Canis lupus familiaris: one gene and its partners. The protein of the gene in region 1 interacts with the protein of each later gene in a pairwise test. Links are inferred from orthologs where the notes say so. Each region holds a gene or a part of one and is shown in the gene's direction. Other genes may lie near its edges.

Region 1 (4,239 bases):
GAGCATGCGACTCTCGATCTTGGGGGTTGTAAGTTTGAGTCCCATGTTGGGTATAGAGATTACTTAAAAATAAAATCTTTAGGGGCGCCTCAGTGGCTGAGCATCTGCCTTTGGCTCAGGTGGTGACCCTGAGTCCCGCATTGAGCTCCCCAAAGGGAGCTTGCTTCTCCCTCTGCCTGTCTCAGCTCTCTCTGTGTCTCTCATGAATAAATAAAGAAAATCTTGAAAAAAGGAAAAAATAGTACTGATAGATTTGCTTGATGCAAATCTTCAATTTGTAAAAAACACATATCTGTGAAGCACAATAAAAGGAGGTATGCTTGCATGCATTTTTTTTTTTTTTTTAAGAGGGAGCAAGTCTATTATAAAAGGGAACCGGAAGAAAGAAAACCTTTACTTGCAGGCATTTACTCAGATCAATTTTGGGAAAGTCGAGAATCTGTAAATTAAATTCCTATGTCTCCTAAGTCTGCGTACCCTTTTGGGGAGTTTTCGTATTCCCTAATTTGAAGACTGTAGGCTTACATATGGTGTGGGATTCTTTAATGGCAGTGAGGGTTTGAGGTTCTGGTACTCTGTGGTCCTAGAAAGTGGCAAGATACTCACCACTTGTGGAATGTGACGCAGGGGAGGAGAATCTCCGTGTTAACCGGTGTGACTTCCCCATAAGCTCGTATTTGGACCCAACGTGGCCTCCACGAGTCCTTCCGGCCTCTTTAAAGTTGGGTGAGGTGCGGGTGTGGGCGAGGGGGCGTCAGTCAGTTTCTTGTCTCCCCGTTCTTTTCTCAGCTCTCCCAGAGGAAGAGGAAGAGACCAGTGGAGACTCAAGGTATTTTACAAGTCTCATTTCATCCAACAGCGGCAATTTGCACAGATTCTCCTCAAAGCCCCCGCCCCACATCGCGGTCCTATGGCCCTGGAGCTCCTGGACAAGGCACGGCCTCCAGGTCATCACTGCATGCACCTCGGGCACCCCACCAGAAAGGAACGGAGAACCACCTAGGTCTCACCTGCTGGGTGGGTCATTAGTTCCTTGGAGGCGCTTAAAACGAAGTCAATAACAATAGTAATAATAATAATAACAAATTTGTGTAGCGAATTGTGCTCGTTTGTATGCATGTGTTATGATTTCACTATTGGGAGGTGTGGGCACGGGGAAGTAGAAGTAGCTGCTGGACAGCGGCTGGGGAGCGCGCAGCCTGCAGAAAGGAAAGGGCAGGCGCAGTAGATGAAGCCGCGGAAAGGGTACCTGGCAGGTAGGAAAGCGGCGCCGGAAGGCTGGTCAATGGCCCAGCGGAAGGAAGAGGGTTTTTTTCCCTCTTAGGAGATTCTCGCTCTCCTATGCACCCCTGCACAGTCTTGGAGGGCCCAATTCCTTAGCTGTCCTGTTCCGTCCTCCCCTCCCCTACTTGGAAAGGTGGCTCAGTCCTTCCAGCACGCGACCCGCCGGCGGTTGGGCTGGATGCAGGAAGTTTCTGATTGGTGGAGTCGCAGAAGCACCGGGCGAAAAGAGCTCCGTCGGTGGCGCCCCCGAGTTCGGGCGTAGCCAGTACCGTACGGCAAGATGGCGGCCCCCAGGTACTTTGGGACGTCCTGCGGGGACAAGCCCGCCCTCTACTGGTCATAGGAAAGAGAGCGGCATACTCTGTGGGCGGCACTGGGCGGGGGGGCGGGCCTACCGCCACTTCCTGCCTCAGGGGGGCCGGGCGCCGTACGAAAATATGGCCGCGTCTAGGTGTCCGTAGGCGGAAACTCCGCGACTTCCGGTCCAGAGAAGGGCCTGCGGTGGGTGGGGGAAGGAAGGCGGAGGGAACCCTGCGAGGTTCTGAGATCAGCAGCGAGGGTCGCCTCGAGAGACCGTTTCTGAGGTGGGGGCCGGACCGTGCGGGGAGCGAAGGCAGGGGCGGGAATGTCGAGGGAGAGGTACTGGGGAGTCCCAGGCGCTGAGTCTGAGGTGCAAGCTGTGGTACCTTCCTTCCAATCCCTGAAGGGGAATGGGGCGGCCGGGGGCTGAACTGGGGGAGGGGGACTTGGCGGGAAGCTCATTCGGGGGAAGGGGTCGGATGCGGGGTTGGGATCTGAGAGGAATCCGGAGAGCTCAGTACTGGGCTCACAATCGGTTACAGGTCACAGAGAGAGAATGGGGGAATTCGGGTGGGGTGAGAGGGAGGGGACTTGAGGTGAGATCTCTCCAACCTAACGTCCCGGTTTGAGGAGACCCGTCAGAGGGTGGAATGTGAGAATAATCCCAGGAGGGGAAACGGGAGTGGATTGTTGGGAGAGAACCTCCTTCGCCTCTGAGAGTCTAGGAGTTGGGGGTGATCCTTCAGGATGGGATGAGGGTGTGGATTTGACGTGTTTGAGAGCGAAAGGGGGAAGGCTGGTGAGGTGGTGCTGACGGGGATGTGGTATCTGTGCGAGGGAATGTCGAGGAAATCCAGAGTGCACACGTGCAGGAGGTGGTCGAGAGATTGGAAAAGTCAACTTGGCAAGTATGAGAGATAGTGGGGAAACTGGATCTCGACAGAAGGGGTAGAGCTGGGGGTGGGGACTTAAGGTTTTCAGGTGGTTTCAGGTAGTGAAAGGTCAGAAAAGTGTCTGGTACTAGTGGTTGCTGAAGTTAGGCAGTGAGGACACTGTTGAGCAGGGCTGGGTGTTACTGAAACCCAAGAAGATTGGAAAATGTGTGAGATGAAGGGAGGGGCTATGCTGGAGGGGCTCTTTCTGAGGCCCCATCCCCTTCCAGCAGGAATTCCGAAATCCCCAACACTTCCTTCCTCCGGGGGATTTGATCCCCCATGGCCACCGCTAACAGCATCATCGTGCTGGATGATGATGACGAAGATGAAGCAGCTGCTCAGCCAGGGCCCTCCCACCCACCCCCCAATCCGGCCTCACCCCAGGCAGAAGCCCCTGGCTCCTCCCAGCCCCATGGGGCTGGAGGAAGCAGTAGTTCTGGCGGCAAGAAATGCTACAAGTTGGAGAATGAGAAGCTGTTTGAAGAGGTGAGCTTTAGGGGAGAAGATTCTTGTGCCCCAGGGAGGGGGATGGCTGACTGGCTCTGTAGTCCTTTCTTCCCCACTAATCCCGCCTTGCCTTCTTTCTCTCAACCCCTCCCCTTGTCTCTTCCCCCCTCCCTTCTTCTCCTGAAACCTCCAGTTCCTTGAACTCTGTAAGATGCAGACAGCAGACCACCCTGAGGTGGTCCCATTCCTCTATAACCGGCAGCAGCGTGCCCACTCTCTGTTTTTGGCTTCGGCGGAGTTCTGCAACATCCTCTCTCGGGTCCTATCCCGGGCCCAGAGCCGGCCAGCTAAGCTCTATGTCTACATTAATGAGCTCTGCACTGTTCTCAAGGCCCATTCAGCCAAGAAGAAGCTGAACCTGGCCCCTGCTGCCACCTCTAGTGAACCCTCTGGGAATAACCCTCCCACAGACCCCTCCTCGGACCCCACAAATGCCGAGACCACTGCCTCTGAGGCACCAAGGACCCGTGGTTCCCGGCGGCAGATCCAGCGCTTGGAGCAGCTGCTAGCGCTCTATGTGGCAGAGATCCGGCGGCTGCAGGAAAAAGAGTTGGATCTCTCAGAATTGGACGACCCAGACTCCACATACCTGCAGGAGGCAAGGTTGAAGCGTAAGCTGATCCGCCTCTTTGGGCGGCTTTGTGAGCTCAAAGACTGCTCTTCCCTGACGGGCCGTGTCATAGAGCAGCGCATTCCCTATCGTGGCACCCGCTACCCAGAGGTTAACAGGCGCATTGAGCGGCTCATCAACAAACCAGGGCCAGATACCTTCCCTGACTATGGAGATGTACTGCGGGCTGTGGAGAAGGCAGCTGCTCGGCACAGCCTTGGTCTTCCCCGACAGCAGCTCCAGCTCATGGCTCAGGATGCCTTCCGAGACGTGGGCATCAGGTTACAGGAGCGACGTCACCTTGATCTCATCTACAACTTTGGCTGTCACCTCACAGATGACTACAGGCCAGGTAGGGATTAGTGAGATGCCTACTGGTAACCCTTGTATGTCAGATGTTTGGTGGAGGGAGCATCTCTCTAGTCCCTTCTTCTAGGGTTTGGGCTGAGTACTCTGACTTTATATCTTCTCATGTAGGCATTGACCCTGCACTGTCAGATCCTGCCCTAGCCCGGCGCCTGCGAGAAAACCGGAGCTTGGCTATGAGCCGGCTGGATGAGGTCATCTCCAAATATGCAATGATGCAAGACAAGAGTGAGGAGG
Region 2 (4,222 bases), on another chromosome or scaffold:
GGCTTACTATTCTTTTGTCCTGATATTTTAAAACATCTATCACCACCTGACATATACATTTCATTGATAATATGTTGTTGGCCTCATGCCACTGGAGTATGAACTCCATGAGGGCAGGGACTGTGTTTTGTTCACTGTGCCCCAACAGTGCCTGGCACACGGGAGGCACTCAATAAAAAGGTGTCCAGTGAATGAATGAATGACAAATAATTAATCAACTAACAACAAGTCTGAAAAGTGCTTTTTAGGTGAAGTACAGTGTGCTAAGGGAGTGTCTAATTGAGCAACTGGACCGAGTCAGAAGTGGGGGTGAGTGAGGCTCCTCTCGGGGATTCTCAACCCGGAAGGATGAGCAGGCATCACCTTGCTAAAAAGCTGCAAGGGAAGTATTCCAGAAGCGCACAGTATATTCAAATGGCAAAGGCACGAGAGCGCACGCGCGTCTGGGGGAATGAGAGTGGTTTTTGTGTGGGGTGGTGGGTGAGGGAGGAGATCAGGGTGCTCCCGGCAAGGAGGAGAGACAGAGCCTACTGGGGGAGCCTGGGGTACCACAGGCAAAGGCCAGGACACTGCTTCTCCTTTGAATCTTGGTGGGCAGGAGGAAAAGAAGGCAGAAGGACTGAGAAATGACCCGGAGTTCCTCAGCAGAACAAGATGTGCTGGGGGAAGACTTGAAGGGGGCTGGGGATGGAGAGGAGGGCTGGGAGCAGCACTGACTTCACACTGCGGAGGGAGAGAAAGGGGTGGGGGTCACAGGCATACTCACAGGGGATTGGAAGGCCCCGCGGCAACTTTGGGAAAGTCCTGGTTGAGTCCTGGAGAGGAATCCGAAGACAAAAGGCTGATTGAACCTAGAGTCAGTCCGCTCTGAGAGGAGAGGGTTACGTGGGGGTGTGGGAGGTAAGGAGTTGGGGAGGGGCAGATACGGTCCGAGATGAGGGCAGGGAGTGTGGGGGGCTAGATGGGGGTCTCTGGAAGTGATCTCTGGGACCAGAGTCTGAGGCCCGGCAATGGGGAGTCAGGAAAGGGACTGTGAAGGGATGCGCTTTCGCCCTGCTATCCGCTCCTCGCCCACCTCCGGAGCCCTGGGGTCCGGGGCCCCCGTCTCGGGGGAGTATGCAGTGCAGAAGGGTCCAGGGCGGGGCGGGAGAGCGGCCCCTCTGGCCCACCAGGTACTCGGAATCTTAGGACGGAGACGCCGACGGCTGGGTGGCTAAATGCGCGCGCAACCTGCAAAGCCAGGTCCCGCCCCCGCCCCGAAGTGGGCGGGGCCAGAGGCTGCGCGCGCAGCTTTCATTGTCACTCCACCCGCTCGCGGCAACCTGACCACGCCCATTCCCCCGTTCATCTTTCTCACCAGCCAATAGAATTGGAGCATTGAGGCCACGCCCACCAGCTGCTACCTAGAAACTCTAGGGTCCCTCCCTTTCTGGCTCAGTCGCACACCGGCGCGGTGACTGCCGGAAGTGATGCCGCGGTGGTTGCCGGGATCGCGGTGATGTGGCCACCCCCCTTACCCCTCCCCGTCCCGGGATGTCGGAAGAAACCCGACAGAGCAAATTGGCTGCGGCCAAGAAAAAGGTAAAACGTGCCGGGTCGCGGCTCCCTGACCCAGCCAAAGGCCCCTCGGACGGCCGGGCCGTGGCCAGAATCTTTGCTGCCCCTGAGGCACACGGGGCTAGCCCCGTGACGCCCCTTGGCGCCCCCCACCCCAAGTCGTCTCAGCCAGTCCCGCCCCCCGGCTGCCCAGCCCCCGCCCTCGCCCGCCGCCCCCGGTGACTTTGGGCTGGTGACTCCCCGGGCTCCCTGCTCCAGGTTTGGCCCTAGCCTTCTGCCACCCAGAAGCGGAGGACCTGGGCTCTCCAGGCCGGTCCCGGTGTCCAGGGACCTCGGTCCCAGCCCTGCTTTCCCCTCCCCCACCGCGGAGCGGCGACTCGGGCGTTGGTAGGGAGGAGGGGAATGTAGTTACGTCACAATCCCCCTCGGAACTGTCATTAGCGCCAGGAGCCCCGGTGTTTGGTCTTACTACCCAGTCTCCCAGTGTTTTCATACCCTTTCCGGTTTCTCCGGTCGCGGCGCAAATTTCCAGCTTGAAGGGGACTGGGGACTATGGGACCTAGGTGGGAGAGGTTTCAGGAGCCCTTACTCTAGACTGTACCCCATCCTTAAACATTGACTACACCAGTGATCATGGAACATTGATAACACCTTGGTGACAATGGGGAGAGTGTGTTTTCTTTGGTATGGTTTCCTTTTAGGTTTCTACTGTCCAGAAAGACTTTCACATATTAAATCTGAATTCTCTACCTCACATTTTAATTCCTTATGATTCTGGACCAGAGTCCCCCCCGCCTCCCCCCCATCAATCAGTGCTCTTTGGAGTGAGATCTGCTTATCCTCTGTGGAACTGATCTCTGGAACCTGAATTTCATAGGTGGGAATCTTCCCCAAATCATCATCTCAACATGGAGTGTTCTGAGGGCCACAGGATAATATAGAACTGAAGCATCAATTGTGCTTGATTCTTTTGAGAAAGAAAAATCCTTTTATAGTAATGTACTAGGGATGACATTTGTGTAGATTTGTAAGATTATGATAGACTTCTCTCTGAAATGGTGCTTGGATTGTCCTCTTTCTGTTAGGTTTCCACATTCACTAGGTGTGTGCCTTTACTGCCTTCTGCCATCAGGATACGTTGATATAAAAGTTTGATAAATACCAATGTGCAGCTTTAACAGATTTGTAGGAAAGGACTCTAAAGTCAGATTACTCAGATGTTATTTTTCCCACCTTTTCCACCTCCACCTCTGGTTTTGCCTTTTGGCACCTGCTGATTTCATGGCATAACCCCAGAACTCGGAGTCAGAAGACTAAGTTTAAATTCCATTATTGCCTAAGTTTAAATTCCATTATTGCCTTTTCTTTTCTTAGTCATGTTATCAGTCTATTTCTGCAGTCACTGAGAATTACAACACCTTGTAGGGCTGTTGGTGGCATTAAGTCAGATGGCGAGTATGGGAGTATATTGTAAACTACAAAGTTGGACATGAATACAGGGGTTTATAGTTCTCATGAGCCCCACTGATTTTCCTTTCTGTAGTTGAGGGAGTATCAGCAGAAGAACAGCCCTGGTGTAGGAGCAAAGAAGAAAAGGAAGATTAAAAATGGCAGTAGCCCTGAGACTACCACTTCCAATGATTGTCACTCTCCTGAGGATGTGAGTACTGGCTGGCCAGGTTCCTGGGGCCAGGGGTGTTTGAGGGGCAGTAGAGGGTGGTGGTTGATACTGTGGAGGAGATGTCAGGTACGGATTTGAATCCTACCTCTCCCTCTGCTGGGAATATGCCCCATCAATAAAGTTGGGGTAATAATGTCTTAACACTGGTGACACTGGAATGAGATGGTTGATTTTTTTTGTTTCTTTTAAGGGTTTATTTATTTGAGAGAGAGCAGGGGGAGGGGCAAAGGAAGAGGGAGAGAGAATCCTCAAGCAGACTCCCTGCTGAGCACGGAGCCTGATGTCTGGCTGGATCCCATGACTCTGAGATCATGACCTGAGCCGGAAGAACTCAGGAGTCGGACACTTAACCAACTAAGCTGTCCAGATGCCCCATTGATGTTGTTTTTATATTAATCCCTTAGGGCCTGGTGTGGGATAAGCATTCAGTCAAGGGTAGTCCTATTTGACATACTGACCTGGTGACTTTCCTCATCCCTGGCTTCAGGGGGGAAGCCAGGCAGTGAGAATAGCCATCTGCCATCACACTGTCCCTATAGGAAGCACCAAAAGAGACCCAGGGTGTAGCAAGGAGACCAAGCATTTGGGTTAGGTGACAGTGAATTTTGAGTCCATCTTTGCCACCAGTTTGCTGGGCGACCTCAGGAAAATCACTTCCTCCCCTGGGCCCAGTTTCCTCTTCTGTAAGATGATATTGTTGGAGCAGATCAGTGTCTTTCAGACTTCTAGCTGGAGCTCCCTTTGTTCAAGCGAACCCTCCATGGAAGTCTGGTTTTTAAAATGGAGTTGCAAGCCTGTCAGATTTGTCCCCAGCACCCGGGTCTGAGGAGAGGGTCTGATGAATGTATTAAAATAACACCTGCATTGGGCTGGTGATCGCGTTCTCGGTCTCGTTCAGGGGACTTTTCCATCTGGGTACATTGATTTCTGCCTCCAGCACGGCAGCAGGTGGCTGTTTGGGAAGGCAGCACAGGCCATGGATTT
Region 3 (4,036 bases), on another chromosome or scaffold:
TCTGCTTATTTTATTTTATTTTATTTTTGTAGTTTTAGACCTAAAAAAAATTTTTTTTTCCTGAAGGTAAAATGTTCATTCCGAAACGAAAACAGTAGAGACCCAAGAAAGAGATCACCAGAATTCCGTCAGCAACGAATTTTAACATTTTAGAGCCTGCCTTCTTTTTGTTGAGGTTGCGAAGTTCAGCTTAAGGTTTCATGTTTGTGAGCGTCCAAAGGGCCTCGGCGAGGTCTCCCAGCCGTGCGGAAGGACCTGGTGGCGAACAGTGGAGCTGGAAGCCGGCCGACAGGGCGGGCGCCTGGAAGGAAGGGACTCGGCGGCCCTGCCCTGCCCTGCCCGGTCCCGTGGACACTGTGCCCACCGGCCGCTCCGCAGGGGCAGCCCCAGGAGGTGGCTCCCCGGGAGATCTCCTCAGCTTGAGCCGGCTGTGGCCTGACCCGGGTGCGCCAAGGCAGCCGTTCCAAGATGGCTCCGTCTCCAGATCCCCAGTGGCTTCTCCTCCCTTTTCTAACCCGTCCCCGGATCTTCTCAGAAGCCCCGGGGGCTCGTCCCTCACGGCTCCCCCTCGAAGGCGCCCGCTCACCGCATCTCCCCGGGAACCACGGCCCGCCCAGCCTCTGTCGGGGAAGCTGCACCGGGAGCCATGTTGGCGAGGGTCGGGGACGGCCCCCGGGACCCCAGCCCGTCCGCGTGTCGCTCCCGGCCGGACCCTGAGGAAGGGAGAGCGAGCCCCTCCCGCCCCACCTCTAACTGACGCAACCTCCTAGGGCTCCCACTGCCACTTTCCAGGTGACGCCCGAGGAGATCCCCCCGGGTGTGGTAACTGCTGCCCCGCCGCCCGGACTTTTAACCTGCCCCCGGGGCAGGATGTCTCGGGGAGCCCGCCCGGACGGCTCAGGGGACACGTGCCGGCGGCTCCCAGCCCCGGGCGCCGGGGCTCCGCGCCCGACCCCGACCGCACTTCTTCCCCGCCCCCCCCCATCGCGGGAGCCGGGACGCCGAGGACACCCGCCCCGCCCCGCCCCGCGCGCGGCCACACGCCCGCCGCCTCAGCCCGCGCGGGGCCGCCCCTCCCCCACCGCCCCCAGGGCGGGGTCGCGCGCCCGCCGGAAGAGGCGGGGCTCCGCGCGCGGGCGGGCGTCTTGATTGGCTGGAGTGGGCGTGACGCCCGATCCCGCTATAAGAGCGGGGCCTCGGCGGTCTGCGCCAGTCTCCGCCGAGAGTCGCCGCGGCTTCCTGCTTCAACAGTGCTTGGACGGAACCCGGCGCTCGTCTCCCCTCCCCGGGCCCGCCGCTCAGAGCCAGCCCTCGGCCACCTCCACGCAGCGCTCTCGGACCGCCCCGAGGCCTCCGCCGCCGCCGCCCCAGCGCCGCGCAGCCGCCGCCGCCGCCGCCTCTCCTCAGCCTCCGCCATGACGACCGCGTCCCCCTCGCAGGTGCGCCAGAACTACCACCAGGACTCCGAGGCCGCCATCAACCGCCAGATCAACCTGGAGCTCTACGCGTCTTACGTCTACTTGTCCATGGTGAGCGCCGCTCGGCTCCGGGCTCCGGGCGGCGGGGCGGGGCGGGGGTGTGGCTGACGCTTGGGCCCTCCCGCCCCTGCTCGCCCTGCTGGAAAATGGACGCTGCTCGAGGCCTCTCAGGACGTGCGCAGAAACTCTGGCCGGCTCGGCCTTTCTGACGGCCCCCTGGGAGGGCTCCCTCTTAGTCAAGGGCCGCCTCTGCGCGCCGCTTCGTATTTAGAGAGAGCCTGGTTTCAAGGAATCCCCGACTTGCGGCAGCTGCAACCGGCACAATCCTGCAGTTAGGAAAGCGGGGTGTGCGTTTCCATCCTGTTCTCCGTGTCGATCACGTGGCCCCGAGGCTGTCCTTTTGCTTGGGTGACGGGGGCGAAGTGGTCCAGCCCCCGTCCTCCCTGCGACTGGCGGAGCCTGCTGGGTAATGGTGTCGAATAGCAACCGTTGGGGGCGGGGGTTGGTGCTCAGTGGCTTATCTCCCGGGGGCCGACCACTCTGGAGCAGCCATCGCTACCCGCTCTGTTCTGCTTATCGCCCAGTCCCACTTGAAGCAGGGAAATCTCCCCTTTTGCGCACACGGTTGTCTTAGTCATCCGTCCTCTTGCCCGGGCATTTAGTACTTTATCCTTTTGTGGCTGAACCCTTGGTTTTAGAATAAACTACACCAACAGTCACTGGGCAAGGAAACTTTCCGTGCTGATCGATGGAATCCATTTTCCAAAATCCTGGTTTTAGGCGGTGTGGTGGGCGTTTTCCTTAGGATTGCAAAAGAAAAAAAAAAAGAAAAAGGATTGCCTTACGATTGTGCAAATTATCTAAGAATAGACCTGTTCCAGATGAATTTGAAAATAGGCCTGGATTTCCGCGACTGCCATTCCATTTCAGGAACACCTGGATTCAGCGAGTGTCTAAAAACGGAATCAAGTTTTCTGTTTTCTGCTGGCAGTTTCTTTGTACAGCTTAGCGTTGCCAGCAGTTGTCACCTTGCCTAATGGGTTAATCTTAGAGATCCGTCAGTATGCTGTAAGCTGGCAAGCTCATGTTTTAACATGGGTTTAATCAGGGAGTTAGGGAGTACAGGGTAAATACTCCCACACCCTCTCCAATCAAATGCGACACTGGCCAGAAGAAGTTTGCTCTCATATAGGGCTTTAAGAATTTATCTGCTGGGGGCAATTCCCTATGATATTCTAAAGGTTCCTTGCAGTAAACTTTAAATGTCCAGGACTGCGTTTCATTTTTGTGTTTTAGAGTACAGACTAGTGTTGTGTTCTGTCCAAGAGCACAGCCTGTCCGCGGTCTTCAGTGCAGACTCCTTTCTTGCTGGACTTTGAGGAAGAAAGGCTAGGCTTGGCAATTCCTAACAGAACATGTTCGTGTTCTCTTTTCAGTCTTATTACTTTGATCGCGATGATGTGGCTTTGAAGAACTTTGCCAAATATTTTCTCCACCAATCTCATGAGGAGAGGGAACATGCTGAGAAACTGATGAAGCTGCAGAACCAACGAGGTGGTCGAATCTTCCTTCAGGATATTAAGGTGAACAAAACATCTTAGATCCTGTGTCTCATCTATCCGGCAAGTCCTTGGGTGTCAGAAATCCCTCAAGCTAGCAGTTGCTCTTATAAAATGAAGTACTTTTGGCTTCTGTGTTTTTTTAAGCCTATCTTCTAAGTTGAAGGAGGTGAACGGTAATGGGCACAAGGCTGTTAAGTTGGAAACCATTGTGGGAGAAACTGGGATGTCCCTCTTGCCAAAGCACAACGATTGCATGTTAGGTGTTTGCTGACTTGGGCAATAATAGGTAGAGGCTGTACGTGCATTGACCTGACCTCCTCTCCTCTCGTTCAGAAACCAGACCGTGACGATTGGGAGAATGGGCTGAATGCAATGGAGTGTGCATTACACTTGGAAAAGAGCGTGAATCAGTCACTACTGGAACTGCACAAACTGGCCACTGATAAAAATGACCCCCACGTGAGTGTTGGCAGTCTGGGAGAGAATGGAGGGAGTCATTTCCCTCTTTAGGGGTTGGGAAAGTGTACCGTTAACATTCTTCCCCATTCTGTCTTCTAGTTGTGTGACTTCATTGAGACTCATTACCTGAACGAGCAGGTGAAATCCATCAAAGAATTGGGTGACCATGTAACCAACCTGCGCAAGATGGGGGCTCCCGAATCTGGCATGGCAGAGTATCTCTTTGACAAGCACACCCTGGGAAACAGTGATAATGAGAGCTAAGCCTTAGGCTGTCTTCCCATAGCCGCAGGGTGACTTCCCTGGTCACCGAGGCAGTGCATGCATGTTGGGGTTACCTTTACCTTTTCTATAAGTTGTACCGAAACATCTACTTCTTTCGTTTGTATCATTCCTTCAAATAAAGTAATTTGGTACCCAGCTGTTGTTTCTTGAGTTCTTGGGATGGGCTAGAAATGTATTTAGTAGGTCATCTTTGTGAAATCTGCTGAGGTGTTGTAGTTCAGTCACAGTAACCAAAATGACATGCCTAGGGAG
Region 4 (3,946 bases), on another chromosome or scaffold:
TTTGTGCATTCTTTCACTGATTTTTTTTAAAAGATTTTATTTATTTATTCATGAGAGACACAGAGAGAGAGGCAGAGACATAGGCAGAGGGAGAAGCAGCTCCCTGCGAGGAGCCCCCCGGGAGCCCCGCCCATGTAGGACTTGATCCCAGGTACCCGGTATGGCTGAGCCAAAGGCAGCCGATCAACCACTGAGCCACCCAGGCGCCCTAGGTGGATTAAATTTGAATGCATTTTCAGTTTATGATGTTTTCAATTTATCATGGGTCCCTGTAAGAGGAGGAACGCTTCCTGGAGGAGGTGGCATCGAAGGTGTGCCCCGGCTGATATATAGGAGTCGGCAGACAAAGGGAGGTGCGGGTTTTTAGCAGGGGGAGGGACTCGGCAAAGGCCAAGTGGCTTGAGTGGGGTTGTTGGATTTAAAAAACTCGGAAGTTAGGTAGAGGGCTAGGTGCTTATATGTCTCGAGGCCTGAGTCCTCTTGCTGACTTGCACCGCACACCAGACAAGCCCTCCTTTTCTCTGGACCTCTCAGGTCTCCAGTCTGTCCCTCAGGTAAATGACCACAAGCTCCCTCCTTCCTCCTGAACTTCCCCCCCCTCCCCTGCGACTGGGAGAATCCACCGAGTGGCTGAGGAGTGACTGTTCATTGAGCCAATCGCTGGAGCCTAAAGGCCCGTCTCTCCTCCCCTTCTCATGGGCCAATCGCCGCGTTCTCCTTGAGACCAGCAGCTTGACGGGGGCGGTGCAAAGGCTTCATGACGTCACGCTCAGGATAAACCAATAGCATCTATTAAGAGGCGGGTTGTTTTGATGATGGACAGCTCCCTTTCAAGATGTCCGCTTAACGCGGGGCCCGCCGGGAAGCTTTGAGGCGGTGCTGGGGGGACAGGGGCGGGAACTTCTGGTAGACTTTGCCCAATCAGCAGTCACGGTTCTTGCGATAGACGGGCAGTCTTTCCCATCCCCGTCGACTTAAGGGGGCGGGGCTCCGCACACCAGACTGGGCGGGCCCCTCAGCTTTGATGGGCGTCTCTCTTTGCCCAATTAGCAAGCGACATCCTCAGACGGGCCGCCTCCGTTGCCAATGAAATCTCCTGGCGGGGTCGTGGTGGGCGGGTCGTGGACCCTCCGGTATAAGGCGGTCCCGGGGGAGTGCGGAGAAAGGGGGGGGTCTCGGCGGCAGGAGGAGGAGTAGGTGCGGGTGAAGATGGCGGCAGCCGAGGCCGCGAACTGCATCATGGAGGTGAGCGCCTGGAGCGCTGCCGGGGGTGGGGGGCGGTTTGGGGGTCGATGTTTTGTGCCTCCGTCGTGGGGAAGGGGCCCCGAATGGGCGGATTGGGGCTGAAGGTTCTCAGCCGTACGGTGGGGACGCCGCATGCTGCGGATCGCGGGATACAGTCAGAGGTTCGGGTTTCCTAGCTTTCGGGGGTCTGCGGCACTCTGTCGAGCCGAGGGTGTCGTGCCCCCTCCCACGTGGAGGAGGGCTGGGGGCGCTTCCGGCCTGGCCCCCACGTGGCCGCGGCACGGTGGGTGGGGAGGGGGTGTGCCGTGCCCGGTGGCCCGACGGGCTCCACGTGCGGGACAAAGGCCCCGCCCCCGGCCGGGGGAGGGGCGCCCCGGGGGGGGGGCGGAGAGGAGGCTCCGACCCTCCCTCGGAGGCCCCCTGCCCTTTCCCCCGGGATCGCGACGTACCCCTCGGCGTGGGCTCACTTCTGTCCCTCCGAGAAGTAGAGTCTCTCGGGAGGGGCAGTGTAGCTCGGCCCTCCACAACCCCGTTCCCGATACCGCGGCATCTCCTTAGGCTTCGGTCCAGGTTTCGTGGACTCAGGGGTTGGGATTGGAGGAAGAGGAAGGATTGGTTCCCTCCGGGCCCCCGGTTTCCTGTCCCTGGATTCCCCCCTTCCCGGGGCTCTGGGAGCTGGGGGGATGGGGCATGCCCCTGTGACCTCCCTCCGGGTGGTGGGGGGGCCTCTGGTTGAAGGAGATTCTTCCCGATAAGGCGTCGTGCACCCCCTTGTGGCCATTTCTGGGTGTGTGGGAGGGACATCTTTTTCATGGGGCGTGTCCCAAAGCCCACCTCCCCTTTGGAGCCCTCCCGGGCTAGGGGAGGGAGAGTCTCTGCTGGGAAGAGCTTGTGGGGGAATATAAGCTACCTCCTACTGGAGACTTTTCTCTCCTCGGCGCCTAGATACGCGAAGGTGGGAGATGACCTCCCCCTTTCTGAAGCCCTGTTTGAGGGTCCTGAGCCTGGAGGCTTGAGATGGTGTCCTGAGAAGTTTGATTCTTGTGCAGCCATGTGGGCTTGGTTCCGGTGCTGTTTCAAGCTCCCTTGGGACTTGCTCGGCTGTGGTGTTAGTGGTATTGAGAAATGGGTCCCAGTGGGAAATCCCCTTACCCGTCACCCTTCTTTGTAGGTGTCCTCACTGGCTTGGGAGAATGGGGGCGGGGCTTGGAGCTGAGTGGGTCTTGTGTGTGACTTCGTGCTTCTGAGGGGCCTGGAGAGTGGTCATATCCGGAAGAGATGTCATCTGATGGGGCCTGCATGATCCCTCCTCTTACCTTGTAGCATTGGGGGCCAGCGGCCCCCAGGGGTCACTCCAATGACTTCCATCCCCCTTGGCTCTCTCCTGGACCAGAGTCTGTATGGGTGGAGGAAATATCTCTTTTAGAGGTTGCCTCAGGATTTGGCCCCACACCCCAGGGGCTTTGGGCCCTGGGATGGGTGTCAATGGGTTTGAGGGGCCAGAGTTTGGCCTCCTCCCTGGGACTCTACCTTCCTGGGAAGAGGGAACGAAGCTTGGAGATTGGCTCCAGCTGGTGGTTTTGTTTGGGGCTTCCTGAGCCCAAGGCAGGAGCTAGGGGTCAGGGTGCCAACTCTGGTAGGGGTGCCTGTGTGCCACACCTCCTTTCTGGAATCCTCTTAGACAAGAGGCTTGTTTGCAAAGGTGGTAGATGCCCAGTGGGTACACACTGCCAGCGCCCCCCCCCCCCCAGCTACTCTTGGCACCCTGGGATGGGGGTGTGTGTGTGTGTGTCAGGAAGTGTCACCTAATCTGGGGGGGATTAGATGATGAGGGGGAGTGACAGCTGGCAGTGCCTGTGTGCCTGGCGGGTGCCAGCTCCTCTGGCCTGGATGGGGGAGGTGTGTATGGTCAGGTGCCTGGCCAGAGAGGGCAACGTGGGGGCGGGCCACCATCTCTCCAGCCGTAGCTGGGACAGAACCCCATCTCTTCTCCCCCCACTTTTCCCACCCCCTTTTGAAAACAGCCCTGCCTCTTTACTCCCTCTGCCACCACTCCCCACCAAGGAAAAAGAAAATTGCAGGAAACACCCCCTCCCCTGTGAGCTGGGGTCCCCTGGCCTGGCCCTCCCCTAGCCACTCCCAGTAGCTAATCCTTTCTCCCTGTTACTCTCTCCTAGAATTTTGTAGCCACCTTGGCTAATGGGATGAGCCTCCAGCCGCCTCTTGAAGAAGTAAATATCCTTTTGTGAGACCCTTCCCCACATACATATATCTTGCCACATTATCAGGCCCTTTCTAGCAGGCTAACCATGATTTCTCTCGCTTCAAACCAGTTTACCCTGTGCCCCCAAACCGTTAGTACAAACCACCCTCCAGGTCTGTGGCTCCCATCTGGCCTCCCCAAGTACCGTGGCTACTTCCTTAACTCCATTTCCAGCCCCCCCACCTGCCCTTCCCGTGTCTGCCCCAATTCTGCCTTCCCCTCCCCTCCCCAGCTGTGGGCTGAGCTAGAGACGGGGGCAGAAAGACTGGAGAGATGGTAGGCGTGGCTGAGGTATTGGGGTGCTCCCTTGGATGGTGCTCTGGGGGGGTCCTGGAAGAGGAAAGTGGGGTTGTAAGGTTTTGGGGCTCGTGGGGGAGGCAGGACGGCAGGTGGGGCCTTTAGGGTTGCCATGGTATGATTGGGGGGAGGATCTGTTCT
Region 5 (3,500 bases), on another chromosome or scaffold:
AAAAAAAAAAAAAAAAAAAAAAAAAGTCAGCCTGATGCTGGAAAACAGATGCCATGGATTAAGACCATGTTCACTTTCTTGGGTATTTGGAGAAGTGGACTGGGTTGGGGGGGGGGGGGGCTTGGGGCGTGTCACTTAAGCTGCCTGGGCCTCTGGAAGGAACATGGAAGAAAATGTTTGGGGTGCACCTAGCAGTTTGCATCACACTTGGTGGCCGCCATTGAGCTCCGGGGACACCAGATATTTTCTGCATGAGAGACCTATTCCCCGGCCTTGGGGCAGCCAGTTTCTCTAAACTATAGGAATGTGAATCGTACAGAATTAAATGGATTTAAATTTGACCCCACTTTGACCCCCGTGAGCTCTCTGATGGGTATATACTCCTTTTTTGTTTGTTTTTTAAGATTTTATTTATTTATTTGAGAGACAGAGGGAGAACACAAGCAGGGGCAGAGGGAGAGGGAGAAGCAGACACCCCGCTGAGCTGGGAGCCGGATGCGGGGTTCGATCTCAGGACCCTGGGATCATGACCTGAGCCGAAGGCAGATGCTTCACTGACTGAGCCCCACAGGCACCCCTTGATTAGATGGGGCTCCATCTAATCCTGATTAGATTAAAACTCCTGATTAGATGGAAAAGATCCCAAAAGAGAAAGAAAGAATCTGAGAAATCAGGTCGGCACGCAGGGCCCGTGCGGGTTCCCAGGCTCAGGTCGGAGGGGTGGGGGGTCGCGGTCTGGGCACACCTGCGGCCCCAGGCTCCCGGGAGGTTGTGACCCCTGGCCGGGTGGGGGCACCAGCCTGGATGGGCCAGCGTGGGGTGCAGACCTCAAAGGGAGGTGCCGTCCTCATTCACACGGGAGCCGGTTAGCCGTGGGCTTCGCGGGGGACCTCCTTCCTCGACCCGGGGATTTGTTTCTGAGGGAACGCGGCCCTGCCTCTCTTTTGCCGTAGTCCAAAATCGAAGACATTAAATTCGAGCTAGAGAAAGAAGCTGAGAAGTCCATCCGACTTCACTTCCAAATGGAGCAGATCGTCTACTGCCAGGACCACGTCTATCAGCGGGCCCTGCAGAGGGTCAGGGAGAAGGATTCGGACGAGGAGAAGAAGAAGAAGACCAGCAGCATGAGCCATGACGAGGTTTCTTCCGTCAACATCTCCTTGTCTGAAATCTTGGAGCACCTGTTGGCCTACCGCCAGGTGAGTCTGCAAGCGTCTCCCAGTGGCGGTTTTCACGCCGTGTCCTTTCCTTGAAATGCCTCCCCTTGGCGCCCCCACCGGTCTGTGTGGCCACCGCCAGCCGGCAGCTCGCCCTCAGCCCTGTGGGCCCAGACGCGTCCCTGAAGATCCCATCTGGGCCCTACTGATGTGCAATGGGCCCCTGTCAATCACCCTCCCCCTCTTTGTCCTGGAGTCTTTTTCCAGAACCTGAATTCTGCTGGTTTGCTTTTTTAAATAAAGATTTATTTATTCATGAGAGACACAGAGAGAGAGAGAGAGAGAGAGAGAGAAGCAGGCTCCATGCAGGGAGCCCGATGTGGGACTCCAACCCAGGACTCCCGCTGTGGCCGTCTTTTTTAGGCAGAAACGTCCCCCAGTTCTTGCTCCTCCCAGCCTCGGTATGAATTTTTGAATGAGCTTCCCCACCCCCACCCCCATTCCTGATGAGAAAAGAGAGCTGTTGGCATCCTCCTGGCGATCCTGTGCATTTTGTCGCTGTGCCGGGGAGAGCTGACATCTTTGTGACAGGAAAGATTTCTGTCCAAGAGCCTCATGGGTCTCTCCGCTTTGCGATCTCCTTTTTGGGTGGGGTGGGGTGGGGGGCCCAGAGGTGTTGGTGTGTTTTGTCTTGGTGTCGACCGTGCACACTTGTGAAGTTTGTTCCCACGTGGTTCCTCGCGTCTGTCCCCGCTGTGAGCCTTTTCTTCCACCGTGTCTTGCTGGCTGTTGGATACGGTTTCCGCGTCTTATTTCACACGCCAAGCCCTTGCGGACGCTCCCCTCTCCTGTGGGACTTTTGCAGCCAATTCTCATGTATTTTCCCAATGAACACGATGCCAGCGGCGCTGCCCCTCGCGGACCTCCTTCCCGACCACACCCCCTCCCAATCCGCTGCCTGCCTCCCTCCTCTGCGCTGGGCCCTGCAGATCATCCGGATGCTCTCCCTAAGGTTAACGGCAGCTAACGATCTTCATTGCACCTGCATCCTCTACTCCCCTTTGTGGTGTGAGAGCGTGTGCCGTCCTGAGGTCAGGATGCGGTGTCCCCGCAGCCGACCCTGTCCCTGGTGTGCTCATCGTGAAATCGCGGGGGTGGAGGGGATGTCCCTGGGGTCAGCGGTTGGCACGACGGCCCGGCTCTGTGGGACCTGGGGAGGGCCAGGGCAGGGGTCCAGGGCGCCTGTTGTCACCACTCAGAAACTTCTCCTCCGTCCCCAAGGAGCTAGTTTCCTGCAAATGTGGCCGGTCTGCGTGGTCCTCTGTGTGGCCATCCTCCAGCATCATCTTCCGTGGGGCCCCAGCCCCGGCTGCTGGCTCCTCGTCTCCTTCCCTCCGCCTCCATGGCGTCCCTCGCTAGCTGTCATCCCCGGCACGAGCAATGTGTCCCAGCACCGCCCCTCGGGCTGCATTCACTATGCACTTATTCTGCACCTGGCATCTTCTTAAACTTTGGTGTTTCAGCTTGTTTAATCCTTTTTTAACCATCTCACGAGGCCAGGCGTAGCCTCAGTATTTCCTGGAGAATAGTGAGGCTGAACTTGCTGGGGTGCCGGGATGAATCGGCTTCCCGAGAGATGAGCCTGTCTCAAGAAAGAGAGGCTTGTTTCAGGGGCAGGTGGGGCCTGGGGAGGGAGGTGGGGGTGGCGAGGCTGACTTTGGACACGCAGGCCCCGCAGGGGGTTCCCCTCTGTGGATTTTCACAGCCCAGCCTCTGTTCTGCTAAATAATTTTTGTGTTGATTAAAAAAAATATTTTCAGTGGAATTGTAAATAAATCGAAAATGGAGTTTTCTTACCCCATCCGGCCATTTACCTTTTTCACGCGCATTTTATCGTCTCTGATCAGAGAAGGAAGCCGAGTGGTCAGGAATCCCTGGCGGGGAGGTGGAGTCAGGGCCGGGATTGGGGGGGGTCCCCCCTGTACTGTGGATTCCCCGCTGCCTCCAGCCCAGAGGACAGTGCTGGGTTCGAGAGATCCGGGCAGGGGGGACCTGCACCTGCCAGGTCCGGCCCCCCACCAAACCTCTGTGAACTCTTCTTCCCTGGCAGGAGGCCACCAACCGCATCTCCAGCCACATCCCCTTGATCATCCAGTACTTCATCCTGCAAGTGTACGGCCAGAAGCTGCAGAACGGCATGCTGCAGCTGCTCCAGGACAAGGACACCTACAGCTGGCTCCTGAAGGAGCGCAGTGACACCAGCGACAAGAGGAAGTTCCTGAAGGAGCGGCTGGCGCGGCTGGCCCAGGCTCGGCGCCGCTTAGCCAAATTCCCTGGTTAAGG
Region 6 (3,923 bases), on another chromosome or scaffold:
AAAGCGGGGGATGTAGAGGCACGGGTCTGCGGCAGACACACTGCGTCAGCGGGGCCAGGGCGAGTCCTGGGGCAGCAGCCGCCCCCCTCTCCAGGCCCAGGAGGCACGTGGCGCAGGGCCTCCGCCAGGGCGACCCCTCCCAGTCCTGCCCGACCCTGGGCTGGGGGTGCCCGCCCTCGTCCCTCGTCCCTCGTCCCTCGTCCCTCCCACAGCTGCCTCGGGGCAGGGTGCTGAGCCCGCGGGCAGCCGCAGGTTGTACACACGCCCCACGGCGAGCGCCTTTCCCCCCGTCTGCCGCCTGCATCTGCCGGTGGGACTCTGCCCTCGTCTGCGGGCGGGAGCGCGTCTCTAGCGGCCACGTTAGTCGGCAAGGCAGGGCTCCGGAGGGACCCGGGGGCGCGCGCAGGCCCCCTCCCCCTGCCAGCCTCGGGCACAGCGCAGCAGAGCGTCGCGGCGGGGTCACCTGGGAAGGCCCTGCCCGGGCGGGGGCGGGGGCCAGCAGGGGGCGGGCCAGGCTGGGGGCGGCCGGGAGCCCCGGGGCCGGGACTGCTGAGCCGTCCTCCCCGGCTCGGGGCCCACCTGGCTGCGCTCTGGGCCCTTGCACCCTCTGCCCGTCTCGGTTCCCAGAAGGGAGCAGAGATGAGCGGCCACCCCGAGGCGTTCCGGGTCCCCAGGGCCGTGGGGGCCGCGGGGCGGACGCCGTGGGGACCCGCCGGCCCAGCCCCCGCACCGGACCCTGCGCCCCGAGGCCCCGGAGCCGCCGGACGCACGGCCGGGGAGGGCAGGGAAGGGCCCGGCGGGCGGGGGCGACCTGCGAGGGGCCGTGCGCGTGCCCGCACCCGGGCGGGGGCCCTGGACGCCCCACAGCGCCGCGCCCGGGCCAGCGCGCGCGCCCCCTGCGCCCCGGGGCCGCGCGCCCCCTCGCTCCCGCCGGCGCCTGCGCACCTGCCGCCCCGCCCCAGCCCCCCCGCGGGGAGGCGGGGCCGGGACGCAGGGGCGGGAGCGCGCACGCCCTCCGCGCGGGGGCGGGGCCGGGACGCAGGGCCGGGAGCGCGCACGTCCCCCGCGGGGGGCGGGGCCGGCCCGGCCGTGACGGGCGTGACGTGCGGGCGCCGCGGCGGCAGGGGCGAGGGCGGGCCGGACGGCGCCCCCTGCGGCCGCGCTGCGGGCTGCGGCTGGGGCTGCGGCTCGGGCTCGGGCTCGGGCTCGGACTCGGGCTGCGCGCCGGCGGGGCGGGGCGGGGCGGGGCGGGGCGGCCCGAGGCAGCAGCGCCCGCCGCGGCCCCATGCTGCTGCCCCTGGCCTGCCTGCACGGCCGGGTGGCGCAGTGCCTCACGGCGCTCCTGGTGCTCGCCGAGCCGCCCCCCCGGCCCCGGCCCCGGCCCCGGCCCCGACCCCGGCGCGGCGCGAGGGTGCACGGGGCGCCGCCGACGCGCGCGGAGGCCGCCCTGCCCGCGAAGATGGCCGCGGAGCTGTACCCCGCCGCCGCCGCCGCCGCCGCCACGGACATCGCCAACAGCAACGCCAACGCCGCCGCCGCCGCCGCCGCCGGCAGGAAGGGCCCGCCCAGCGCCCCGCCGCCCGCCCCGCCGCCGCCCGCGCCCGCGCCCCCCGCGCCCGACAACAACAACTTGGAGAGCCCCAACTGGCAGTCCTTCCACCCGACCCTGCGCGAGAGGTGAGCCCGGCCGCCCCCGCGCCCCCGCCCGCGCCCCCGCCCGCGCCCCCGCCCGCGCCCCCGCCCGCGCCCCCGCGAGCCCGAGCCTGCCTCTGCCCTTCGCAGGAACGCGCTCATGTTCAACAACGAGCTCATGGCCGACGTGCACTTCATCGTGGGGCCCCCGGGAGCCGCCCGCAGGGTGCCCGCGCACAAGGTGAGCCGAGCCGCGGCCCGGCCGCCCGGCACCCCGGGGTGGCCCTCCTCGGCCTCCGCGGGGCGGGGCGGGGCGGGGCGGGGCGGGGCTCAGGGCAGCTTCCCTCTCCCCGCAGTACGTCCTGGCCGTCGGTAGCTCCGTCTTCTATGCCATGTTCTACGGCGACTTGGCAGAAGTCAAGTCGGAGATCCACATCCCCGACGTGGAGCCTGCGGCCTTCCTGATCCTGCTGAGGTGCGTGTGCCCCGGAGCCGCGGGTCGGGAGGCGGGGAGGCGGGGAGGCGGGAACGCTGCGGGCCCGGGTCGGCGGCAGGGCCCACGCAGCCCGTGACGCGGCCCCCACCCTGCCTAGGTACATGTACAGTGACGAGATTGACCTGGAGGCCGACACGGTGCTGGCCACTCTCTACGCCGCCAAGAAGTACATCGTCCCCGCGCTAGCAAAAGCCTGTGTCAACTTCCTGGAGACGAGCCTGGAAGCCAAGAACGCCTGTGTCCTGCTGTCCCAGAGCCGGCTGTTTGAGGAGCCGGAGCTGACCCAGCGCTGCTGGGAGGTCATTGATGCTCAGGCCGAGATGGCCCTGAGATCTGAAGGCTTCTGCGAAATCGACTGGCAGACTCTGGAAATCATCGTGACGCGGGAGGCCCTCAACGCCAAGGAGGCAGTGGTCTTCGAGGCCGTCCTGAACTGGGCTGAAGCCGAGTGCAAGAGGCAGGGCCTGCCGGTCACCCCACGCAACAAGAGGCACGTTTTGGGGCCTGCCCTCTATCTGGTCCGAATTCCAACCATGACCCTGGAGGAGTTTGCCAACGGCGCAGCCCAGTCGGACATCCTGACCCTGGAGGAGACCCACGACATCTTCCTATGGTACACGGCATCCAACAAGCCCCTCCTCAACTTCCCCCTGACCAAGAGGAAGGGCCTTGCCCCGCAGCGGTGCCACCGGTTCCAGTCTTCTGCCTACCGCAGCAACCAGTGGCGCTACCGTGGGCGCTGTGACAGCATCCAGTTTGCCGTGGACAGGAGGGTGTTTGTTGCAGGGCTGGGCCTGTACGGGTCCAGCTCCGGGAAAGCCGAGTACAGCGTGAAGATCGAACTCAAACGGCTGGGGGTGGTCCTGGCTCAGAACCTGACCAAGTTTGTGTCGGACGGCTCCAGCAACACCTTCTCGGTGTGGTTTGAACACCCCGTGCAGGTCGAGCAGGACACCTTCTACACAGCCAGTGCCGTCCTGGATGGCAGCGAGCTCAGCTATTTCGGGCAGGAAGGCATGACGGAAGTACAGTGTGGGAAGGTGACCTTCCAGTTCCAGTGCTCCTCGGACAGCACCAACGGGACCGGGGTCCAGGGTGGGCAGATCCCCGAGCTCATCTTCTATGCCTGAGGGGCCCTGGGCTGGCGTGGATGCCCTGCCCTCTGCTGGGCACCATGAGGAGGCCTTTCTCTGCAGCTGGTCCGGCCGGGAAGGGAAGTGCAGGACATTGTGCTACCCGTCCCCCAGCTGGCTGCCTTCCTGACCCCATTAAAGGCTTCGCCAACTTTGTACTTCTCTCGTACTAGTCAGCTGCAGTCCAGAGCTGGGAACCAGAGGCTCCTCTGCACAGCCAGAGCCTGGGGTGCTGAGTGTTGGCTGCTGGGCAGATCTGGGGGTGCAAGGCAGGCTTCATCCAGGTCCCCTCCCAGTGGTGCCCACACCGTGGCTAGCTCTGGGGACCTTGCCATCCATCCCACCCTCATGAATTCACAGTGGTACGACGCCTAGCCCAGACCTTCCCTTCAAATCCACATTTGGGAAAAAATACCTAAAACAGTCCACGTCTACCTGGATTTTCATAACAAAGTTTCAGTGAAACGAGCTACCAATAGATTAGTGACGGAAGGAGCGTGAAGCTGGGGCAGGTGCCTTCCCCTGTGTTCCTTCCAGCACACAAAAAGCTCTCACTGAGCCCTGCTTCCTGGTTAGAAACAAACTGCCCCCTGGGGAGGTCGGCTGTCCCTGAGCATGCCCTCTGCTGGCAGGCTGGCTTCTGCTGTGGGTCTGTCACTAGA
Region 7 (3,500 bases), on another chromosome or scaffold:
ATCTTGGCAGTGTTGATGTCTAAGACAAGAGAACTGTGTGTGTGTGCACATAAGTTAGAATATACTGAACCCATAAATGATGTCTGAGACGGTCCTCACCTGACCTCTGAGGATTTTGTGGAGGGGCAGGTGAATCCCTTACAGAGTGATGGCGTCCTCCTTTCTTAGCTTGGGTGCCTGCCTGTGAGTGGGCCTGGTGGGGAACGGGATGGTGGTGGAGAGTATTATGACCTTATGACCGAAAGAATATCTAACTTCTGTGTCCTTGTTCGATGACCCCAGCATAGGGATCCTTGTCACTGACGAAGCAGGGGCCAGAGGCTAAGACAGAAAAGCATTTCTGGGGTTGGACTTCAGATTGGAACTGGCAAAGATCTTCCTTAGTTACTATCTTTATTCCTAGTTAAGGCAAAAATAATGAGTCAGTGCTTGAAGGCACAAAAGATTGTGCTGCCTTAGGATATCCCAGAGGATTCATCTAGTAATAATTTTCTTTCTAGGGTTTGCATAGCAGCAGACATGGACTGACCTTGGAGTCAGTCAAAATAATATTGATAAGACAAGGGTATATTGTAAGGTTTTTGTGTTTTTGTTTTTTTTTCCCCAATAGGAAGTTTTCCACCTTGCAGTCCTTTTGAACTCATAGCACCTCCTCCAACATTTGTGCTATGTGCTGCCTTCATTCTCTCGGGGCTGGATGGACTGGAGGGGAGGCAGGAGGAGTGCTATATAATGGGATTAATTGCTGGCAGTGCTGAGCATCTGGTGTAATGATTCACAATGGCTTGTGTTTCCAGGCAGTGGACCAATCCAGCTGTGGCAGTTTCTTCTGGAATTACTCACTGATAAATCCTGTCAGTCTTTTATCAGCTGGACAGGAGATGGCTGGGAGTTCAAGCTTTCTGACCCAGATGAGGTAAGAGGGGAGTGGCTTGAGAGCCCTGTGTTGGAGGAGGATGAGAGTGAACTCTGGAAAGTGGTGATGTGGGCCTGCATGACATTTTCTGGGATTCCAGCCCCACCTCTGCCCCTTGGTCCTTGTATGACCTCGAGCCAGTGACAAAGCCTGCCTGAGACTTGAGTTGCATCCTTTGGACAACAGAGAAGATATCTACACTGCCCATTTGTTTCCCAGGATTCATGGAAACGATACATAAGAAATGCCTGGCACATGGCGAGCCTTCATAAATACGGGTTGCCTTTTTTGACTTGGCACTTGTCCTGGTCCCATGGCCCTGTGAATCTAGAAGGGGGTCGGACAATTCAAGAGGTCTTGGAAGACCAGGACAATCTGTTCATTAATTCATGATTTTATTCAACAAATGCATGTGGAGCGGTTGCTCTGTGCCCTGCCCCATTCTGAGCACGACAGATTTGAAAACACCGACCAAGAGAGACAACATCTCGGGTCTGGCTGACTAGAAGATAGGATCCTCTGGTGTAGAAAAAAATTCTTCCCTTTGATGAAACACAGGCATGACTGCAGCTTAGCCCTGCCCCACTGTCTCACGTTAAATTTCATGCTTGCAGAGCGAAGGTATCCTACCAACAACATGAGGAAAGAGGAGAGTCTATAGTGTTGCTTATCTTTTTTCCCCCCATTATCAGGCACCTTAACTCTATTATATAGAAACACAAGGTCAATATATTTTCATTACTTTGAGCATTCTTGCCCAGCTCTTTTGAAAACTGGAATTCAGAATAAGTGGGTGAGAAAAAGATCTTCCATCCACTTGAATCTCAAGCCATCTTACCTGAACAACATCATGGGTCACGATGACGGGATATGGGGGCAAATAAACATATGTACTTGGATTATCCCATAGGTATTTACCCTGTCTCTTTTTCATTTTTTATTTTTAAATTTCAGGTGGCCAGGAGATGGGGAAAAAGGAAAAACAAACCTAAGATGAATTATGAGAAACTGAGCCGTGGCCTACGCTACTATTATGACAAAAACATCATCCACAAGACAGCGGGTAAACGCTATGTGTACCGCTTTGTGTGTGACCTGCAGAGCCTCCTGGGCTACACGCCTGAGGAACTCCACGCCATGCTGGACGTCAAGCCCGATGCCGACGAGTGATGGACACCACAGGGCTCGGGGAAACTCTGCTGAGACATTTTGAAGAACAACCATGTCGGTCGGACTCTTAATTTTTAATTGTTATTCTATTTTTAATTTTCCAGAACTCATTTTTTTACATTCAGGGGTGGGAGCTAAATGAGCTGCAGCTATAATCAATTGTGCGCAGTTGGAAAAAAAGAGAGCCAGGACTTGTGGGGTGGGTGGGACAAGAAATTCTTGAGCAAATTTTCAGGAGAGAGAGAGAAGGGTCTTCTTAGAAGCTTGAAGGATCTGGCTTAAGGGAGGAGGAGACGAATGTGTACCATTATTTCTAAAAATCATCCATAAAAAAATGTGTCTTGAGTTATGGATCTATTAGCAAAAGAAATTGAGACATCAGGAGTCATGAGACCCATGAAAGGCAATTACCTTGCTTTTGTTTTAAGGTCTGGGAGGGCAAAAAAAAAAAAAAAAAAAAAAAAGAGGGAGGTGGGATAAAACATTTGTGTGGGGGATGCACTAAAAAACAAGGACTATTTACTTTTGACTCGACTTTTGAAACAAAGATGGACTTCAATGGAGAGGGGCCCAAACTGTTTTTGTGTTAAAATCTATTTTATTAAATTTTGTGCCAGTATTTTTTTTTTCTTAAAAATCGTCTTAAGCTCTAAGGTGGTCTCAGTATCGCGGTATCATGCAAGTTTGTTTTTATTTGCCGGCTGAGAATTCTGTCAAAGTGCAAGGAAACTGTTTATATAGACCCCACTGGAAATGCAAAGTGCTGTCACTGAGATCGGGGATCCCAAATTCATGTGACTTCTATATGAAGTGAAAAAAATATATCACGCTGACTTGGGCACAAGGGACCTGTGCATGTGAATTTCATCTGGGTTTTAAAAAAGGATCACACCCCTCTACTTACCCGTCATTAGTGGATTCTCGGGGTTTGGACTTAACATTGAACTAAGAAGCATTAAGTCTTTGAACTGAATGTATTTTGCAGCCCTGGTTTTGGATCACGGTCGCTGTAGGAGCACTGTTGAAGTCATAGAAAGGAGATTGAAAGAGGAAGAATGACTTGTTGCTTTGTTGGTTCTATACCTGCAACATTTATGACTTGGAATAAACGCTGTGTGCATGGGCATTACCCCTCAGGTCTTAGGAAGTAAGTCCTGAATGCATGTCATCCCAGACCAACACTCTATACTTTCTCCTTTTCCCAGCATTCCACCTTTATTGCTTCCCCCCTCACCCCCACTACCCTGTTACCCAGTAGAGAGAAATGTACAGCTTTCCGACCCGTGAGTGAAAGAGCAATGTGGTCATGGCATGAGTTGACGGGTGGCTGACAAAGCCATTCAGACATCCTGGGTTTTAGGGACAGTGGAAATTAAGGTTGCATAGAAGTAAAATGTGGCTTGGCTGTCTTTGG

What was found.
Region 2: the proteins of DAXX (region 1) and GOLGA2 interact in binary tests that used the Homo sapiens proteins (3 or more experiments, as listed by UniProt). The two-hybrid records come from large-scale screens. The link is inferred for Canis lupus familiaris from reciprocal best matches to the Homo sapiens genes DAXX and GOLGA2.
Region 3: the proteins of DAXX (region 1) and ferritin heavy chain interact in binary tests that used the Homo sapiens proteins (3 or more experiments, as listed by UniProt). The link is inferred for Canis lupus familiaris from reciprocal best matches to the Homo sapiens genes DAXX and FTH1.
Region 4: the proteins of DAXX (region 1) and PRMT1 interact in a two-hybrid assay, tested with the Homo sapiens proteins (2 studies listed by BioGRID and IntAct). The link is inferred for Canis lupus familiaris from reciprocal best matches to the Homo sapiens genes DAXX and PRMT1.
Region 5: the proteins of DAXX (region 1) and MX1 interact in a two-hybrid assay, tested with the Homo sapiens proteins (2 studies listed by BioGRID). The link is inferred for Canis lupus familiaris from reciprocal best matches to the Homo sapiens genes DAXX and MX1.
Region 6: the proteins of DAXX (region 1) and BTBD6 interact in a two-hybrid assay, tested with the Homo sapiens proteins (2 studies listed by BioGRID and IntAct). The link is inferred for Canis lupus familiaris from reciprocal best matches to the Homo sapiens genes DAXX and BTBD6.
Region 7: the proteins of DAXX (region 1) and ETS1 interact in binary tests that used the Homo sapiens proteins (3 or more experiments, as listed by UniProt). The link is inferred for Canis lupus familiaris from reciprocal best matches to the Homo sapiens genes DAXX and ETS1.

Annotation. Positions count from the first base shown.
Region 1 is NC_049233.1:2,912,733-2,916,971, reverse strand, and holds the start of DAXX (death domain-associated protein 6), read left to right. Parts: upstream 1-1,439; 5' UTR 1,440-1,578; intron 1,579-1,722; exon of another isoform or gene 1,723-1,868; intron 1,869-1,874; exon of another isoform or gene 1,875-1,954; intron 1,955-2,746; 5' UTR 2,747-2,798; coding exon 2,799-3,005; intron 3,006-3,159; coding exon 3,160-3,988; intron 3,989-4,113; coding exon 4,114-4,239. UniProt on the Homo sapiens protein: Transcription corepressor known to repress transcriptional potential of several sumoylated transcription factors. Down-regulates basal and activated transcription.
Region 2 is NC_049230.1:55,321,471-55,325,692, forward strand, and holds the start of GOLGA2 (golgin subfamily A member 2), read left to right. Parts: upstream 1-1,422; 5' UTR 1,423-1,533; coding exon 1,534-1,581; intron 1,582-3,100; coding exon 3,101-3,217; intron 3,218-4,222. Other genes in the region: DNA repair protein SWI5 homolog, read right to left, coding at 767-815, 1,076-1,290, 1,358-1,378. UniProt on the Homo sapiens protein: Peripheral membrane component of the cis-Golgi stack that acts as a membrane skeleton that maintains the structure of the Golgi apparatus, and as a vesicle thether that facilitates vesicle fusion to the Golgi membrane.
Region 3 is NC_049239.1:55,067,097-55,071,132, forward strand, and holds ferritin heavy chain, read left to right. Parts: upstream 1-1,236; 5' UTR 1,237-1,415; coding exon 1,416-1,529; intron 1,530-2,914; coding exon 2,915-3,061; intron 3,062-3,373; coding exon 3,374-3,499; intron 3,500-3,598; coding exon 3,599-3,763; intron 3,764-3,764; 3' UTR 3,765-3,854; downstream 3,855-4,036. UniProt on the Homo sapiens protein: Stores iron in a soluble, non-toxic, readily available form. Important for iron homeostasis. Has ferroxidase activity. Iron is taken up in the ferrous form and deposited as ferric hydroxides after oxidation. Also plays a role in delivery of iron to cells.
Region 4 is NC_049222.1:107,533,427-107,537,372, reverse strand, and holds the start of PRMT1 (protein arginine N-methyltransferase 1), read left to right. Parts: upstream 1-1,146; 5' UTR 1,147-1,209; coding exon 1,210-1,245; intron 1,246-3,422; coding exon 3,423-3,476; intron 3,477-3,683; exon of another isoform or gene 3,684-3,781; coding exon of another isoform or gene 3,782-3,799; intron 3,800-3,946. UniProt on the Homo sapiens protein: Arginine methyltransferase that methylates (mono and asymmetric dimethylation) the guanidino nitrogens of arginyl residues present in proteins such as ESR1, histone H2, H3 and H4, FMR1, ILF3, HNRNPA1, HNRNPD, NFATC2IP, SUPT5H, TAF15, EWS, HABP4, SERBP1, RBM15, FOXO1, CHTOP, MAP3K5/ASK1, MICU1 and NPRL2.
Region 5 is NC_049252.1:35,811,784-35,815,283, forward strand, and holds part of MX1 (interferon-induced GTP-binding protein Mx1), read left to right. Parts: intron 1-953; coding exon 954-1,199; intron 1,200-3,267; coding exon 3,268-3,498; 3' UTR 3,499-3,500.
Region 6 is NC_049229.1:73,012,300-73,016,222, forward strand, and holds BTBD6 (BTB/POZ domain-containing protein 6), read left to right. Parts: upstream 1-1,285; coding exon 1,286-1,677; intron 1,678-1,767; exon of another isoform or gene 1,768-1,782; coding exon 1,783-1,873; exon of another isoform or gene 1,874-1,931; intron 1,932-1,988; coding exon 1,989-2,107; intron 2,108-2,225; coding exon 2,226-3,258; 3' UTR 3,259-3,423; downstream 3,424-3,923. Other genes in the region: BRF1 (transcription factor IIIB 90 kDa subunit), read right to left, coding at 1-26. UniProt on the Homo sapiens protein: Adapter protein for the cul3 E3 ubiquitin-protein ligase complex. Involved in late neuronal development and muscle formation.
Region 7 is NC_049226.1:6,209,505-6,213,004, forward strand, and holds part of ETS1 (protein C-ets-1), read left to right. Parts: intron 1-797; coding exon 798-916; intron 917-1,870; coding exon 1,871-2,086; 3' UTR 2,087-3,500. UniProt on the Homo sapiens protein: Transcription factor. Directly controls the expression of cytokine and chemokine genes in a wide variety of different cellular contexts. May control the differentiation, survival and proliferation of lymphoid cells.